Linked DNA regions of Rhinolophus ferrumequinum. The protein of the gene in region 2 interacts with the protein of the main gene of each other region in a pairwise test. Links are inferred from orthologs where the notes say so. Each region holds a gene or a part of one and is shown on either strand. Other genes may lie near its edges.

Region 1 (7,538 bases), on a different chromosome or scaffold from region 2:
AAGAGGAAGAGGCAGTAGAAGGGGAAAAAAAGAGACTGTATTTGTGACAAGGGGGAAGGGAGAGACAAAGGGGAGATAGAAGAGACGGACAGAAAAGAAAAAGGATGACAAACAACAAAATCTGTTCTTCCGGAAATAATGGTTTATGTTTATAAAAGTGAAGTTTCCAGAAAATGAATCTTAGTGTTACACAACAGAAACTAATAAAGAAGCCAACAGGAAAAATAATTGAGAGAGCAGTGTCATAAATATTCCAAATTTCAACCAATTTCACATACGCATGTACTTTGACCCAAATCATCAATTTCATGTAAAAGGAGTTGGTAAAAGTAATCAAGCCATGTTGCAGTGCTAAATAAACTGTAATCATGAATCTTAGCTATCATGGAAATTCAAAGCTGGAAATTTCCTCCCCAACTATCCAGCTCAACTCCCTCATCACTCAGAGGAAGAAACTGAGGCCCTGTTTTGTAACGTGTCTAAAAATCACAAATGACTGCAGGACTCAGGAAAGCTAGGATTCTTTGTTCAATAATCTTCTGTATCTTCTACCTCTGGTTTTATAAGCTAATTATTAACCATCAACCATAAATTTAAAAAGTTTTGTCAAGACTAACAAAAACCTTTCTGATGGCCAGATCAGAGGTAAACACTATAACGTACCTAGCACTGTTCACACAAATTAAAACACAAAATTAAATAAATAATAGCCTTCACAGGGTATAAACAAAATGTCGTAACAAGAAAAACCAAAGGTCCAATATTTTGAAATTTTCAGCCATTTAGACTAAGGAGCATATTTAAAATTGAAAGTTCTCTCCATCTATGGTATGGATAAGAAGAAATATTCAACAAGGCCTATTTTTGTGCGTGATTCCTTGCAGCCAAATCATTTGGTAAATTTCTGTCGCCATTCTCCTTTCTGATTAAACAGTAACTTATTTATCAAGGCTGTTCTCAAATTTCAGTCCGGTATACTTTAAGAATTTAACCACAACGATTGTTTATACCCTCTATATCCATGTCACTAGGATCTGATTAAGACCCTCCCTTTGTAGCCAATCAAAATGAGGCTGCTTTGAATGTAAAAGCTCCTGATTCAGGTTTGGGGCCTAAAAAACTGGATTTGTTTCCAGACTGACCGATACGTTGGATTGTTCCTTCCCCTCCCCCACTCACAAGTAAACTTGACTCATGCAATTAATTTGGGCTACGTTTCAAAAATTCCCATAGCAATTTACAATTTTATATACAGCTGATCTGCTTAAAGCTTTGTTTTAACATAGCAGAGCTAGATGAGGGAGGAGGGAGACAAGCAGAAGACTAAGGCTTTTTTTTAACTGCAGGTGTAAAACACAAGCCAATTTTTAAAAACAATACGAAATAACGTTTTTTAGAAGATCCTTGTTTTCAACCACATTTCATATAATGCCAACACGTAAATATATAGAGCATTTCCAATCAGCAGTGGTAGGTTTCTGCTCCCCGAAGAAAACGCGGACTCCTGAGGTTTCACCTCTCTTACCCTCCCAGTTGCTTTTAATAAGAGCTACTGATGGCAAACTTGGGCCCCTTGTCCTTTTGTACCCCCTAGACGATCTCTAGCCTAATTCTGGACGAAATCTCCACTGATTACTCCTCTCCCTATATATCCCTGCTCTCCCTTAATTAGAAATTATACCTCAGAATCGTGTCCCCCCCCCCGCCCCCGCGCCCCACCACGTAAGAGGAGAACGCCTGACCCACCGCCACCTGGAGAACAATGTAACCCAACTCCGAGTCCATGGATTCCTCCATCCAAGCCCTAAGATTTATCTTCAAGGGAAATCAGAAAGCGAGTTGTGTCCTGTCATCCTGGATTCCCTCAAGGTGTCCTACCCCTGGCCTAGGATTACCCGCTCCATTATACCGAGGAGCAGTATACTCACCTTCCTTTTCCAAGCATCTGGCCCCTTTCCCTCGCACCTTTCACCGCGACCCCCATCCCACCCTCGGAGAAGCAGCACAGGCGGCGAGTCACCTCCGAGGGCACCGAGCCCCGGGAGGGAGGGGGTCGCGGGCGGGTCGAGAGTCGGCAGCGGCGGCAGGACACTTCGGGTCAGTGGCCCCACTCCCACCGCAGGACACACGCCCAGTACCTTTGTAGTGCACCCGCAGGTTGTTCTGAGAGAGACCGATGTAGCTGAACTTGTCCTTCGGGCTCCAGGACCGAGGCAGCGGCGTCTCCTGCTCGTCTACCGCCGGGTAGAGGCGCTTCAGCCGCCGCTGCAGCTCCTTCTCCTGCTCGTTCAGGGCCGAGTCCCCGTGCGGGAAGGGGGCCGCAGCACTGCTGCCCGCCGCCAGGGCCGGGGCGCCTGCGGCCGGGCCGGGGCCCGCGGCAAGACCCGGGGGCGCTGGAGGCGCGCTGGCGGGGGCGGCAACCGAGGAGGGTGGCGGGGGCGGCGGGGGCGGCGGCGGAGCCGCGGTGGCCGGGGGCGGCGGCGGTGGCGGCGGCGGGTGGAGGAGCAGGGCGGCCGCCGCGGCCCCCAAGCCTCCGCCGCCCCCCGAGCCGCCGCCGGGCGAGCCGACCGGAGAGGAGCCGGCACTGACGGCTGGCGGCGCCGGCAGGACGACTCCGGAGACTGGGGCCACGGCCGCCGGGGGCGGCGGCAGCTGCTGCTGTTGCTGCTGCGGCGTCGGTGGCGGCTGCCCGGACATCCCGGCCGCGACTCAGCCTGCGGCCACCTCTACCTCTTCTCTCCTTCCTCCTCTGCTTCCCGGGGGCGCTGTCGCTGCGGCCGCGGGCACCAAGCGCCCAGTCCGCCCGCCCCGGAAGCAGGCGGCGGGCCGCGCGCCGGGGGAGAGCGCGACGGTTGGGGGGCTCGGAGACTGGGAGTGGGCTGCGGGCCCGGGGAGGCCTCGAGAGAACGTTGGCCGGAGCGCGGGCGCGGGCCCTGGCCGAGGCGCCGAGGGCGGGGGAGAGGCGGGAGCGCGGGTGGAGAAAGCTCGGTGGCAGCCGCCGCGGCCGCTGCTCTCGCGGCTGTTTCCCGGCGGGCGGGCCGGACCGGCGCGAGACGCAGCGCGCGGGCGGCGCTGGGCGAGGAGGCGGGGACGGCGCGCGCGAGCAGCGCGAGGGGCGGGGCAGCGTGGGGTGGTGGGGGAAGGTGTCGGGCTCGCGGGGGTCCCGGGGGTGGCGTGGGAGGAGGCGCGCGGCCCGGACGGCGCAGTCTGGTCCCCGGCCCGCAGGCCGCTGGCGGACGAGACGCGCGGCTCCCGGTGCAGGGGTCCCTGCGGAGTCCCTGCCTCCTCCCCCGCCCGCCCGGGCCCTCCCCGGGAGAATCTCCTCCTACTTCACTTCTTTTTGTTGTCGTCGCCCCACCTCCCCACCGTAGGGTTCCCGCTGGAGTGGCGGTGCTGCTTCTCGCCCAGGCGAAAGTAATCGAGCCCCGCTGGGGCGGCCGCGAGCCCGGCTGCTGGAGCCCAAATCGAGTCCCCGAGGTGAGCAGTCTGGAGAGTGCCCACGGGTTCCCCAGGACAGGTTCCTTCTGGCCGCCTCCCTCTTTATGAACCTACTGCTCTTCGTATTTCACAGTATTTAACACGTTAACATTATCACAGTGGGGATGGAAACCATTTCTGAACGCAGAGTCTCCCACTTAAAATTGTGAGCATTGTATTAATTAATTTTATGAGGACTTAAAGTGAACTTGTAGTGGTAGATGGTGTTAAGAGGAATACTGAAACACTGGCATATCTTCAAAGACAGGAACATGATCTGTATGAAGACAAGGTAATAATGTGTAGTTAGGAAGGGCTTCTAGAGACGTCAAAACATTTTATAGACTCGTTAATTTTCGTAACAGGCTTCTTTGTTAGGTAGCAAAGAATTATGCCATTTTTAAAACAAGGAAATATTCACTGAGGTCAGCAGAGTCAAAAATAGGACTTCCTACTTTGCAATTCCCAATAAGTGCTTTGCTTGGTCGACTAATTTGCCACAATTTGCCAAGTGTTGCTCTCTGACCCATCCTAGCATTACTATTTTGTTTTCACCACTTCCCTTTGTTTGCATTCTCCTTTCCTTTGCTGGTAAAATTGAGCTTTACACGTGTGAACTACATGATATAAATTCTGGTATTTTGTTTGCTTCCAAAGAAATGAGGATGGTAATTGTTTGGCCAAATAAGAAAGAACTATTTGCTGAGTAGAGAATTATTTACTTTGTTTTGGTGAGAGTAGGTAAATGGTGATTTAACTGAAGGCCCTCGGATGTCTGACCAGAACTAATAGTCCTTTAGTCTAATTTCTCCCTCAGTTACCCAGACAGCTAGATGCCCTGTTGTTCTTTAATAAAAATACCCAACAATTCTAACCTATTGTTTTGTGACTTTTTCCAGTCACTGCACTTTAAATCACAAGATATCCTTGTATTGAACTTGTTCTAAAACTTTCATTTATATTTCAGTAACAATGAGTTAGGTGTAAGCCAGTCTCTATTTAAATGTTATTTAAAAGGCTGGCCAAGGTAGAAGAAATGGGTTCCAAATGGGTGTCAACAAACTTTCTTGAAATCATCATCAGGGTTTTAATTATGAAGGTGTACTTTTTTCTGTTAGCACACTTTGAAACTATTTAGAACTTTGCATGTCCTGGGAACGGTTGAGAGAATAAAAATGTCTGACATTACGTCGAAAGCCTTTTATAGGAGTGACTGGTTGTTCTCCAAACAAGCAATCTCAAGAAATTAATGATTTCAATTTGCGGGAGGGTGATGTGAAATAGGCACTAATACTGACGGTGGCAGAGAACACTGATAACGTCATTTTAGAAAGCTACCTATTTGATGATAGTTAGCAAAAGACATGAAGGTGTTCACGCCTTTTGACTAATTCCCACCAAAAAATCGAAACCAAGTAACAAAATCTAAACTGTGGAAGAAATTGAGGCCTACAAATGTTCAACAGGAAAGTACTGATAGACGAAATAAGGAAGCAAACTAAATGCTCAACATGGAGGGACTAATTGAAGAAAGCATCGAATGCCCCATTCAATGGAATTAGGACCGCAGGAACACATATAGCACATTTGTTCAAATTTGGTTTTTGTTTTTTTTAATGCACCCCCTTTGGGCAGAGGAATTGCCAAAAGAATGAGGCAAACCAATAGAAAGACGCTCCTCCCTCTTGACTTAGTGGATATTGGGCTCAATTTCAAACCCACTCTCTCCAGTTCTCTTTCACAGGAACAGGCTGAAGTAAATGTTACGTGGCCTCTTAAAAATGGTTGAAGACATGGGAAAGTGATTTAGATGTGCTAAATGGAACAAGGCTATGCAATTATACATTGCCAAAATTGTTACCAAGAAGACATGAAGGGAAATCCCAAAATATTTCTATAATGGACAATTGTAATACATAATTAAAAGTAAATTTTTATTATGAAATATTAAACTTGTACATAGAGATATAAGTAATCCATTAGCTTTTAACTTCACACTCTTTTTGCACCTGTGTTTTCAGTCTTGACCATGTATTGCTATCATGTTGATGTATATCTATCTGGAGGTTCTCATAGCCAACAATAGGAGACAATTCTGGCTTTCTTAAGCAGCAGAAACTTACTGGAAAGATCCTGGGTGGTTCTCAGAATTGACCAAAAGGCTGGACAACCAGCCCACATTCAAAGGGAGGGGATAATAAAAGGGCATGAATTCTAGAAGGCAGGGATCTTGCAGGCCATCTTTGAAATCTGCTTATCACAGGGTCGTTGCAACTTCCGGTGAACCCAGGAGGACTGCACTTGCCACATACACATCAAATATGACTCTAAGCCAGGGATTGGCAAACTTTTTCTGTAATGGCTAAGATACTAAATATTTTAGACTGTATTGGCCATATGGTGCCTGTCACAACTACTGAACTTTGCCATCGTGAATGAAAAGTAGCCACAGACAATCTATAAACCAATGGATGTGGCTGTGTTCCAATAAAACTTTATTACAAAAAAAAAAATGTAATAGGCTGGTTTTGACCTGCAAGCTGTACTTTGTGATCTCTGTTCTAGATCACTTTATCAATATTCCTTATAAACTATTCTCAACACTAAATGACAAGACCAAGACACTGGCAATGAAATCCCAGGACTTAATAAATTCCCTTTATTACCAACAATGCTGCTGCACCCTTGTCCTGGACAAGCTTAATGCCGTATGCGAATGGAGTCAAGATTTTTTGGCAGCTAATGTGTGGTAAATTGGAATGGGTGGCAAGTGGCTGAACAATGCTAAGAAACTACAGCAGGATGGAGTCTAAATTGGGAGCAGTGCTCTGTCAGCATTTAAGCCACTATTATGTATGGAACCCTGTGTTAAGTTCTGGGCATGGAGTAAGGAAAAGAGGAAAGAGGGATTACAAAGACGAACGAGGCAGTATTGAACCTGTTCCTGCAGTGAATAGAGTGGAGTTGGAGAGGCAAGATTGGTATACATGAATTAAAGCAGTAAGCTTCTCAAACCTGAATGTGGGGACTGGCCGAGGGGGACCCGAGATTCTGCATCTCTAACAGGCTTCCAGGTGATGCTTTTGCTTTTCGTCCATGGACCATCCTTTAAATAGCAAGGACTTCGAGAAACAGTTAATGCTCTTTAGAAACAAAGGCTTCAAAGAATCCGAGTCCAGGTAACAACATCTAATGAGGGAGAACTTCGCGTGCTGTCTCAGCCAGACTGGGAAGGTGGTGCTGCCTATAACCGCAAACCAAGAGATAGTATTTCTGGGGCTTAGAGTTCAGGGTGAAAGGATCTGCGGAATCCCATGGAATACACATATTCATGTGTGAATATAATCATTACAATTCAGTGTTCGTTAATAAAATATATGTGAAAACGAAAAGTTATTGAATTTAGAGGAAACTATTAATCTATTCTAGAAGAATTTAAACAAAAATGGCAAATTTGTCTTAAAGAATGTGAGCTATCAATTATTTCACAAGTTAATCTAACAATCTCTTGATTTTCCTCTTAATTTTTCCTTCTGCTTTCTCTAGTCCACTGTAACGCTTTCATTTGTCAAAACTCACATTTTTTTCTTACAGATTGATTTCTGTATCCCCTCTTTCTTGTTTCCTTATAGCGATATGAAAAGTCCATCCAAAATGGAGTAAAAGCAAGAAGCAGGTAGCAGAAACTCACTTCCTTTGCAATGTTTCCCTCCGTGTTGTCGAGTAGGCACGATGAGGTTCTTGATGGAGTCATGGAATGGGAAGGCTGCCCCAGAATTTCCCTGACTTCCGGTCATTGCTACCAACTGGCCTGTGAAATGGCCATGGATTCAGTGGATTCTGTAGGGTGCAGGCAGCCAAAGGAATGGTGTTTTAGTACATTCGGGCTGTTAGAACAAAGGGCCATGGACTGGGTGGCTTATAAAGAGCAATCATTTATTTCTCATGGATCTGGAGGCGTGGGAAGTCCATCATCAAGAAACCAGCAGATTCAGTTTTCACCAGGTGAGAACCTGCTTCCTGTTTCATAGATGGCCATCTTCTTTCTGGGGTCTCTCTGG
Region 2 (6,953 bases):
ACTGAGAAAGGCGTCCCAGACGCGCAGCACTGTGGGGAAGGGCAGGGAGCGGGCGAAGAGGCACAGGAACCACTCGGGCAGGTAGAGCAGGGGCCCGACGCCCACCTGCTGCAGGTGTTTGTGCACACGCGGGAGCAGCCGCCGCAGCAGGGCCATGAACACCTCAGCATCCAGCTGCACAGCCTCCTGCGGCCATGTCCGTCAGCACCTCCACTCCCAAAGCCCAGCAGGCTCTGCCCCGCTCAGTCCCCAGGCCTCCACCCACCCATCCACCCAGCCCCTCCCCCTGTGCCCTCTGGCCTCATCCCAGACTCTTACCATGTGGGGCCCGTAGTAGCCTGGCAGGTAAAGCTCACAGATCTGCACCAGGCACCAGAAGGCCTCCTGGAGGTGGAGCACAGGCCATGAGTGCCCACCATGGAGGGGCCACAAGGGGAACCGCAGGGCAGGGGGAAAGGGTGCAGGGGAGGGCCTGGATACCATCTGCAGTGACTGTGGATCTAGGTGCCGGGACTCAGACCTGGGGGCGCTCTTACCAAAAGCCTCCCCTGCTCATGGGTCACAGGGCTCAGGGTGTTGAATTTGAGGGTCACAGAATCGAGGCTCACTGGTCAAAGGTTGGGAGGATCCCAAAGCTCAAGTCCTGGGTTCTTGGGGTCATTGGTTTAGGGATCATGGTGACAGGGTTCAGAATCAGGAGTCAGGAGGTCAAGGTGATAACATGCAGACTCCTATTCACTGGGGCAAGGGGCAAGGGGCAAAGGTCCCAGGTTCCTGCAGTCCAGGTCATTGGGCTTTAAGGTCACTGAGGCTGGCAGTCATGAAGCCCTGGGTCACTAGGACAGGATCTGGGGTCAAGGATCCCAGGTTCCTGACATCAGAGTCCCTGGGGTTGGGAGTCACGGGTCACTGGGGTTGGGGGTCAGGGTTTCGGGCCCCTAGCACAGGGTTAAGGGCACTCACCTCTGGGGGCAGATGCATGAGTAGCACGGCAGCCACAGGACCCTGTGCCTGGCAGTAGCCCTGTTCAGGCCGATACAGGGTGTAGGCCTTGAGTACCTGCAGGAGCCCCTGCTGCCTGTGCCAGAAGACCCCATTAGGGATCAGTCCTCCTGGCATCCCTTTCCCCTCTCTGCAGCCTTTGCCCAAGCCTCACCACCCCCAGCCTTGCTGGCTCCCCTGAGATGCAAAGACATAAAGCTGGGGTGGGGAGGGGCTGGGCCAAAATGCCTGGGGTTGTGAGGCTGGGGGTCCCTGGGCATCACTGGCCTCGTACCCGTGACCTTGGGGAGACACAAACATCTCGTGCAGAGGGAACTGGCGGTGCAGGTCCCTGCCGATGGTCTCCATCCACTGTGGATCTCCCGGAGTCTCAGCCAGTTCCTGTGGGTAGGCAGGAAGGTAGGTGGGAGGGCTCAAAGTGGCGAGGGGCTCTGGAAAGGGGGGAACCCCTGCCAACTCTTATACCTGATAGATACCAGGGCTGTTCTTTTGACACACATGGGCCCCACACAGCAGAGGCCAGCACCGGGCACGCAGGGCTGAGGGGATGCCTTTCCGGCACTGCATCTTTACCTGTGCGGAGGCCAAGGGACCCCATTAGGCCAGCAGGGCCAGCCTCCCCTGCTCCTGCTGGCAGGCCCCAAACACAACTTAGCATCAGGCAAGGGCCACTTTGGGTGGTAGGGAGAAAAGACAGGACACAGGAGGGGACTAAATTTTGCCAGGGCCTGGGCTGAGGCAAAGGAGAATAAGCCAAGACGGCCTGGGTGGGGCCATTCTCCCCTCACCTTCTTGTACCGCCGAGACATGGTTTTCTCCCAGTGTGAAGTCATCTCCACCCACTTCATCTCACGTTGACGGATAAGGTCTGCAGAAGGGTGACCAGGCCTGGGAGCACATGGCATAGACATCCAGGCGCCAGGCAGCTGTTACCTACAGCCCACATCTGCCACCCTCATGCAACCTAAGTGAGCCCCTGGGGGGTGACCTGTCACCCAAGAGTTGCCAGTGGTTGTCATGGGGACAGGAAAGGATGTGGCTCCAATGTGGGTGGAAGCAGGAAAGACTGAAAGGGGTGTGTAGGTGTGCATTGGGGGAGGGGCTGGTTGGCTGTCCCCCAGGATAGGGACACAGACAACTCACAGGGGAAGCTGTGTGGACTGAGCCCTGTACTAGAAGCCAGGAGTACTGAGTTTGAGACTGGTTCAGTCTCTGATCTGCTGTGTGACCTCAGGCAAGTTCCTTCGTGTCTCTGGACTTTTTATCCTGTCTGTATATTGGGAAAGGGGGAGGGTGGAGAAAGAAGTGTGGGTTCTGTGATTTGGATTTGGGATTCCTGGGCCAGAGGTTAAAAGGGAAAGGATGTTCAGTTCCCAAGGTGGGTCCAAACCCTTGGGGTTTGGGGGTAAAGAGACAAGGACACCCCGGCCCAGTCCTGCCAGCCTTAGGAGGGGTGACACTTGCTAAGTCCCCAGACCCGCCCAGGACCCTTGAGGTTGGGCCTCATTCTAGAATTCAGCTCTCAGCCCCTATCTTCAATCCAGGACCTCCCCCACCCCCATTCCTTCCCCACTTACCCTGGCTCTGCTGCGCTGCCTCCAATGAAGCCATACCGGTCGGCCCGGCGATATGGGCCGGGCCCACTCAGCTCTGAGTCAGACCCCAAAGAACTGGAATCATCCTGCAGCTCACAAGCCTGCACCAGGTCCTCACCCAGGGCCTGGGCCATGGTGCCCCAGACCCCTGATGCAACAAAGAGGCTGCAAGATGGGAGAACCAGTGAGAGAGGCAGCTCCTGGCCTGGCCTCCCATCCAACCGGTCCTCAGCCTCAGGTCCTGGCTGTGGGGTTGAAGGGAGGAGGTTTCAGGGTATCTCAACAAGCCCCTTGTGTCCCCACTTCTATTGGTGGGAGGGGGTTAGACCCTGAAGTGGCAGAAAGGCCAGGCCTCTGTTCAGAGACCCAGCCCCTGGCCCAGCACCCCAGCTTACCTCCCAGAAGCACCTCACCTCCTCCTCTCACTTCCTCCTCAGACACAGCTTCAGCTACCCACTGGGGGGCCCCTCCCCAGTGTGTGTGGGGGGGTTACCCCTTCCTCTCTGAGGCTTTTCCGGCCTGCCCCAGTGCCCCTGGGCTATGGGCTCCTCCCACCAACCCAACCCTGTACCCTGGGTTCTTGTGCCGGGCTTGATGGGACCAGGGACTGCTGGAGGTAGAGGCCAGGCTGCCTCCTGTGGAGGATACTGGCATATAAAACACTCAATTCAGGGTTTCAATGAGAATTATGGTTTATTTAATGTTTGCTCTTTAGAAAGTAATACTTTTAACATGCTCACAATGCAGTTTGTGCTACTCAAAGGCAGGCAAGGATGGGATTTTAAAAAATTAATTTAGATTGCACCACAGGCAGTATGAACTAAAATGGGCTCGGAGTTCTATGGAAGCTGCCTGGGTTTGGTCAGCCACCTCGGGGGCCACAAAGACGCAGGAGGTAGAGGTCCTCTGTGAATGTGAGGCCAGGTATTGGACCAGCCCCTTGTTATCTCTGAGCCTCAGTTTCCTTTTCTGTCCTTTGAGGACTTAATCCACAGTGTTTGGGGAATCTATGATTAACGTGCTCACGCCAGGTGGGAAGTTCGGCTGTTCCGCCTGTGAAAGAGAAAAACAACTTCCACAGTATTTCCGGTCCTATATTCTCAGAAAGAGGCTGAGTAATTCTCAGGGGCGGAACCAGACTCAACCTCACCCCACAAAACCACGCCCACCGACCAGGCCCCGCCCCAGGCACATAAAGTACCGCCCCGTCACCGAGCCCCCGCCTCCCGCATGGCGTCCAGCGGAGGCGCTAGAGAGCTGGGGCAGCAGGCAAGGGAAGCCAGCGGGGTGGGGCGGGCCGGGGCGGGGCGGGCGGCCGAGGAGGCGGGCCGGGGCGGGCGGAAGGAGCGACAGGCCGGAAGGAGGCATCGGAGGGCGGGAGGCAGGAGCTGGCCCGGAGCTGCTGGGCCGGAGCGGCAGAGCCGCCATGTCCGACAGCGAGAAGCTCAATCTGGACTCTATCATCGGGCGCCTACTGGAAGGTTGGCTGGGGTGTGGGAGGTCAGCGTCCGCCTCGCCCTAACCCCCGGCCCGGCTCGGCCCGGAAGTTGCGCGCGGGCGGGCCTGCCCCTCCCAGGGCTAGCTTAGACTGGGCGGGGACGGGCCGCGAGGTTCCGCGGCCGCAGCCGCCCCCCCACTGGCGGCGCACCTTGGGGGCGTCTGGGGCCCTTCGGGCACGGGGAGCAGCCCCCTCCTCTGGACCGGGGACGCACCAGTTGGCCTGGGCTCTTGGGGTGAGGGAAAAATCTAAGAAGCCTGTCCCCCCCACCCCCGGAAAGGGGTCCTGCGTTGGGGGGTTTCGGCCCTTGCGCACAGCAATCCCCTCGAGCACCTTAAGGGTAGTTGGGGTCCCGTCCTGGCAGGCTAAGCAGCAACAGCTTCCCGGGGCAAGGAGGGGCCCAGGAGGCCCAGGCGCCGCTAGAAGTGCCCATGGGGCACCTGTGCCGCCCACCCTCCTGTCTGAGGAACCAGGGTCCTGACGCTCCATTCCGCCTCCAGTGCAGGGTTCGCGGCCTGGCAAGAATGTACAGTTGACAGAGAATGAGATCCGTGGTCTGTGCCTCAAATCCCGGGAGATTTTCCTGAGCCAGCCCATTCTTTTGGAGCTGGAGGCACCCCTCAAAATCTGCGGTGAGACCCCTGCCCAGGCCCTTTTGCTTCCTGAAGGTGTCCTCGCCCCCCCCTCCGCCCAACCCCTGGATCCCTCTTCTCTTGAGCCCACCCTGGCCCTGGGTTCAAGTCTAGATCCCGCACCTAGTGCTGACCTGCTTCCCTGGGTCACAGGTGACATCCATGGCCAGTACTATGATCTTCTAAGGCTGTTTGAGTATGGTGGCTTCCCTCCAGAGAGCAACTACCTCTTCCTGGGGGACTACGTGGACCGGGGCAAGCAGTCGCTGGAGACCATCTGCCTGCTGCTGGCCTATAAGATCAAGTACCCCGAAAACTTCTTCCTGCTCCGTGGGAACCACGAGTGTGCCAGCATCAACCGCATCTACGGCTTCTATGATGAGTGTGAGTGGGCTGCGTGCCTGGGGCTGCCAGAGGCCTGAAGTTCTCTCCCCACTGTTTGGTGGGACCCTTGCGTTGACTTGGTGGTAGGAGTATCGGCATCTGACAGATAACCTGCTAGACTGTGAGTGTGGGGAAGGCAGGGCCCTGCCCGACTGCCCTCCTGCTCTGCTGCCATGGGGCCTGGCCCTCAGGAAGGGCCGACCACAGTGTAATACAGGGTCCTGTCTGGTAACATTCCCTCTCGCACATCCGTTACTTAAGCACTTAGGATGCCTATGTGGCCTGGACTCTGCTGGCCAGAAGCTGAGATTAACCAGATCTGGTCTTGGCCTGGCCCCGCTCACAGGGTGGAGGTGGGTGCCAACCCTGACGTTCCGGATTGGAACTCGGGGGTTCCTCCTGGAAAGCTGGTAGGCAGTGGGTTTCCCTTGCGTTTCACGCTCCTCTCCCAGCTGTGTCTGGGAGGCCTTGGGGGGCCCACAACCCTGTTGTGGGTTGGATGGACAGGCCGCCTCACAAGCCATCTCCTTCCTCTGGGCAGGCAAGAGACGCTACAACATTAAACTCTGGAAAACCTTCACCGACTGCTTCAACTGCCTGCCCATCGCGGCCATTGTGGACGAGAAGATCTTTTGCTGCCATGGAGGTGAGGACGGCTCTGGGAAAAGCCCAGCCACATCCCTGGGGACCTCGGGATGAGGCTGTTTGCTGGAGGACGTGTTCCCAGTCACCTGGAACAGCTTTCCCTGGGGTCTGGGCTTGGATGTCCCCCCTCGCCAGTGTTAGGCTGTACTCTCTGCTGTTGTGGCCTCAGCATTGTGCGTGGAACTTAGAAGTTTCCTTTCTCTAGGGAGCTCTGCGCTCCTAGAGGGCAGGGACTTAAACAGGCTAAGGCGGTGAGTTCTGCCGACCTGGGCTTCCAGGAGTCCAGGAGAGGGCCAGGTGGTAGTGGGGGGAGGCAGAAGCTAATTGGTCAAGACTTTCTGGAGGAGGGTGGCCCTTGTTTTGAGGCTTGTTTGAGGAAGTGACCTGCCCCGTGTCCCTCAGGTCTCTCCCCGGATCTGCAGTCTATGGAGCAGATTAGGCGTATCATGCGGCCCACAGATGTGCCTGACCAGGGGCTGTTATGTGACCTGCTGTGGTCTGACCCTGACAAGGATGTGCAGGGCTGGGGCGAGAACGACCGTGGTGTCTCCTTTACCTTCGGGGCTGAGGTGGTGGCCAAGTTCCTGCACAAGCACGACTTGGACCTCATCTGCCGGGCACACCAGGTGGGCTGGGAGCTCTGGTCTGGGTGGGAGTGGGGCCTGGGCAGCCAGCACCTGCTGAACTAACTGCCCCGTCCTCATCCAGGTCGTAGAAGATGGCTATGAGTTCTTTGCCAAGCGGCAGCTGGTGACACTCTTCTCAGCTCCCAACTACTGTGGCGAGTTTGACAATGCAGGCGCCATGATGAGTGTGGACGAGACGCTCATGTGCTCCTTCCAGGTAGGGGTGGGGAAGGAAGGGGCTGGTGGCCCATGGCTCAGCCCCGTGAGCCTGACCAGTTCTCTCTCTTAGATCCTCAAGCCCGCCGACAAGAACAAGGGGAAATATGGGCAGTTCAGTGGCCTGAACCCTGGCGGCCGGCCCATCACCCCACCCCGCAACTCCGCCAAAGCCAAGAAATAGCCTGTGGGTGCCCGCTGTCTGCCCCCGAGGGTGGACTGTGCAGCAATCTCACAGCCGTGGGGGTCACACTGGCCCCTGGGCCTACCCATCAAGGGAACACGGAGCCTTGGTGTATTTTTCTTTTTTTTTTAATGAATCAGTAGCAGCGTCCAATCCCCCAGGGCTCCCCCT

What was found. The genes of interacting proteins can lie anywhere in the genome.
Region 1: the proteins of PPP1CA (region 2) and RANBP9 interact in a two-hybrid assay, tested with the Homo sapiens proteins (2 studies listed by BioGRID and IntAct). The link is inferred for Rhinolophus ferrumequinum from reciprocal best matches to the Homo sapiens genes PPP1CA and RANBP9.

Annotation. Positions count from the first base shown.
Region 1 is NC_046292.1:80,648,900-80,656,437, reverse strand, and holds the start of RANBP9 (ran-binding protein 9), read right to left. Parts: upstream 3,026-7,538; 5' UTR 2,698-3,025; coding exon 2,139-2,697; intron 1-2,138. UniProt on the Homo sapiens protein: May act as scaffolding protein, and as adapter protein to couple membrane receptors to intracellular signaling pathways. Acts as a mediator of cell spreading and actin cytoskeleton rearrangement.
Region 2 is NC_046294.1:4,830,751-4,837,703, forward strand, and holds the start of PPP1CA (serine/threonine-protein phosphatase PP1-alpha catalytic subunit), read left to right. Parts: upstream 1-3,933; 5' UTR 3,934-4,023; coding exon 4,024-4,078; intron 4,079-4,595; coding exon 4,596-4,727; intron 4,728-4,880; coding exon 4,881-5,111; intron 5,112-5,652; coding exon 5,653-5,757; intron 5,758-6,158; coding exon 6,159-6,382; intron 6,383-6,464; coding exon 6,465-6,599; intron 6,600-6,671; coding exon 6,672-6,782; 3' UTR 6,783-6,953. Other genes in the region: TBC1D10C (carabin), read right to left, coding at 1-186, 319-384, 964-1,078, 1,277-1,383, 1,468-1,575, 1,791-1,890, 2,580-2,731. UniProt on the Homo sapiens protein: Protein phosphatase that associates with over 200 regulatory proteins to form highly specific holoenzymes which dephosphorylate hundreds of biological targets.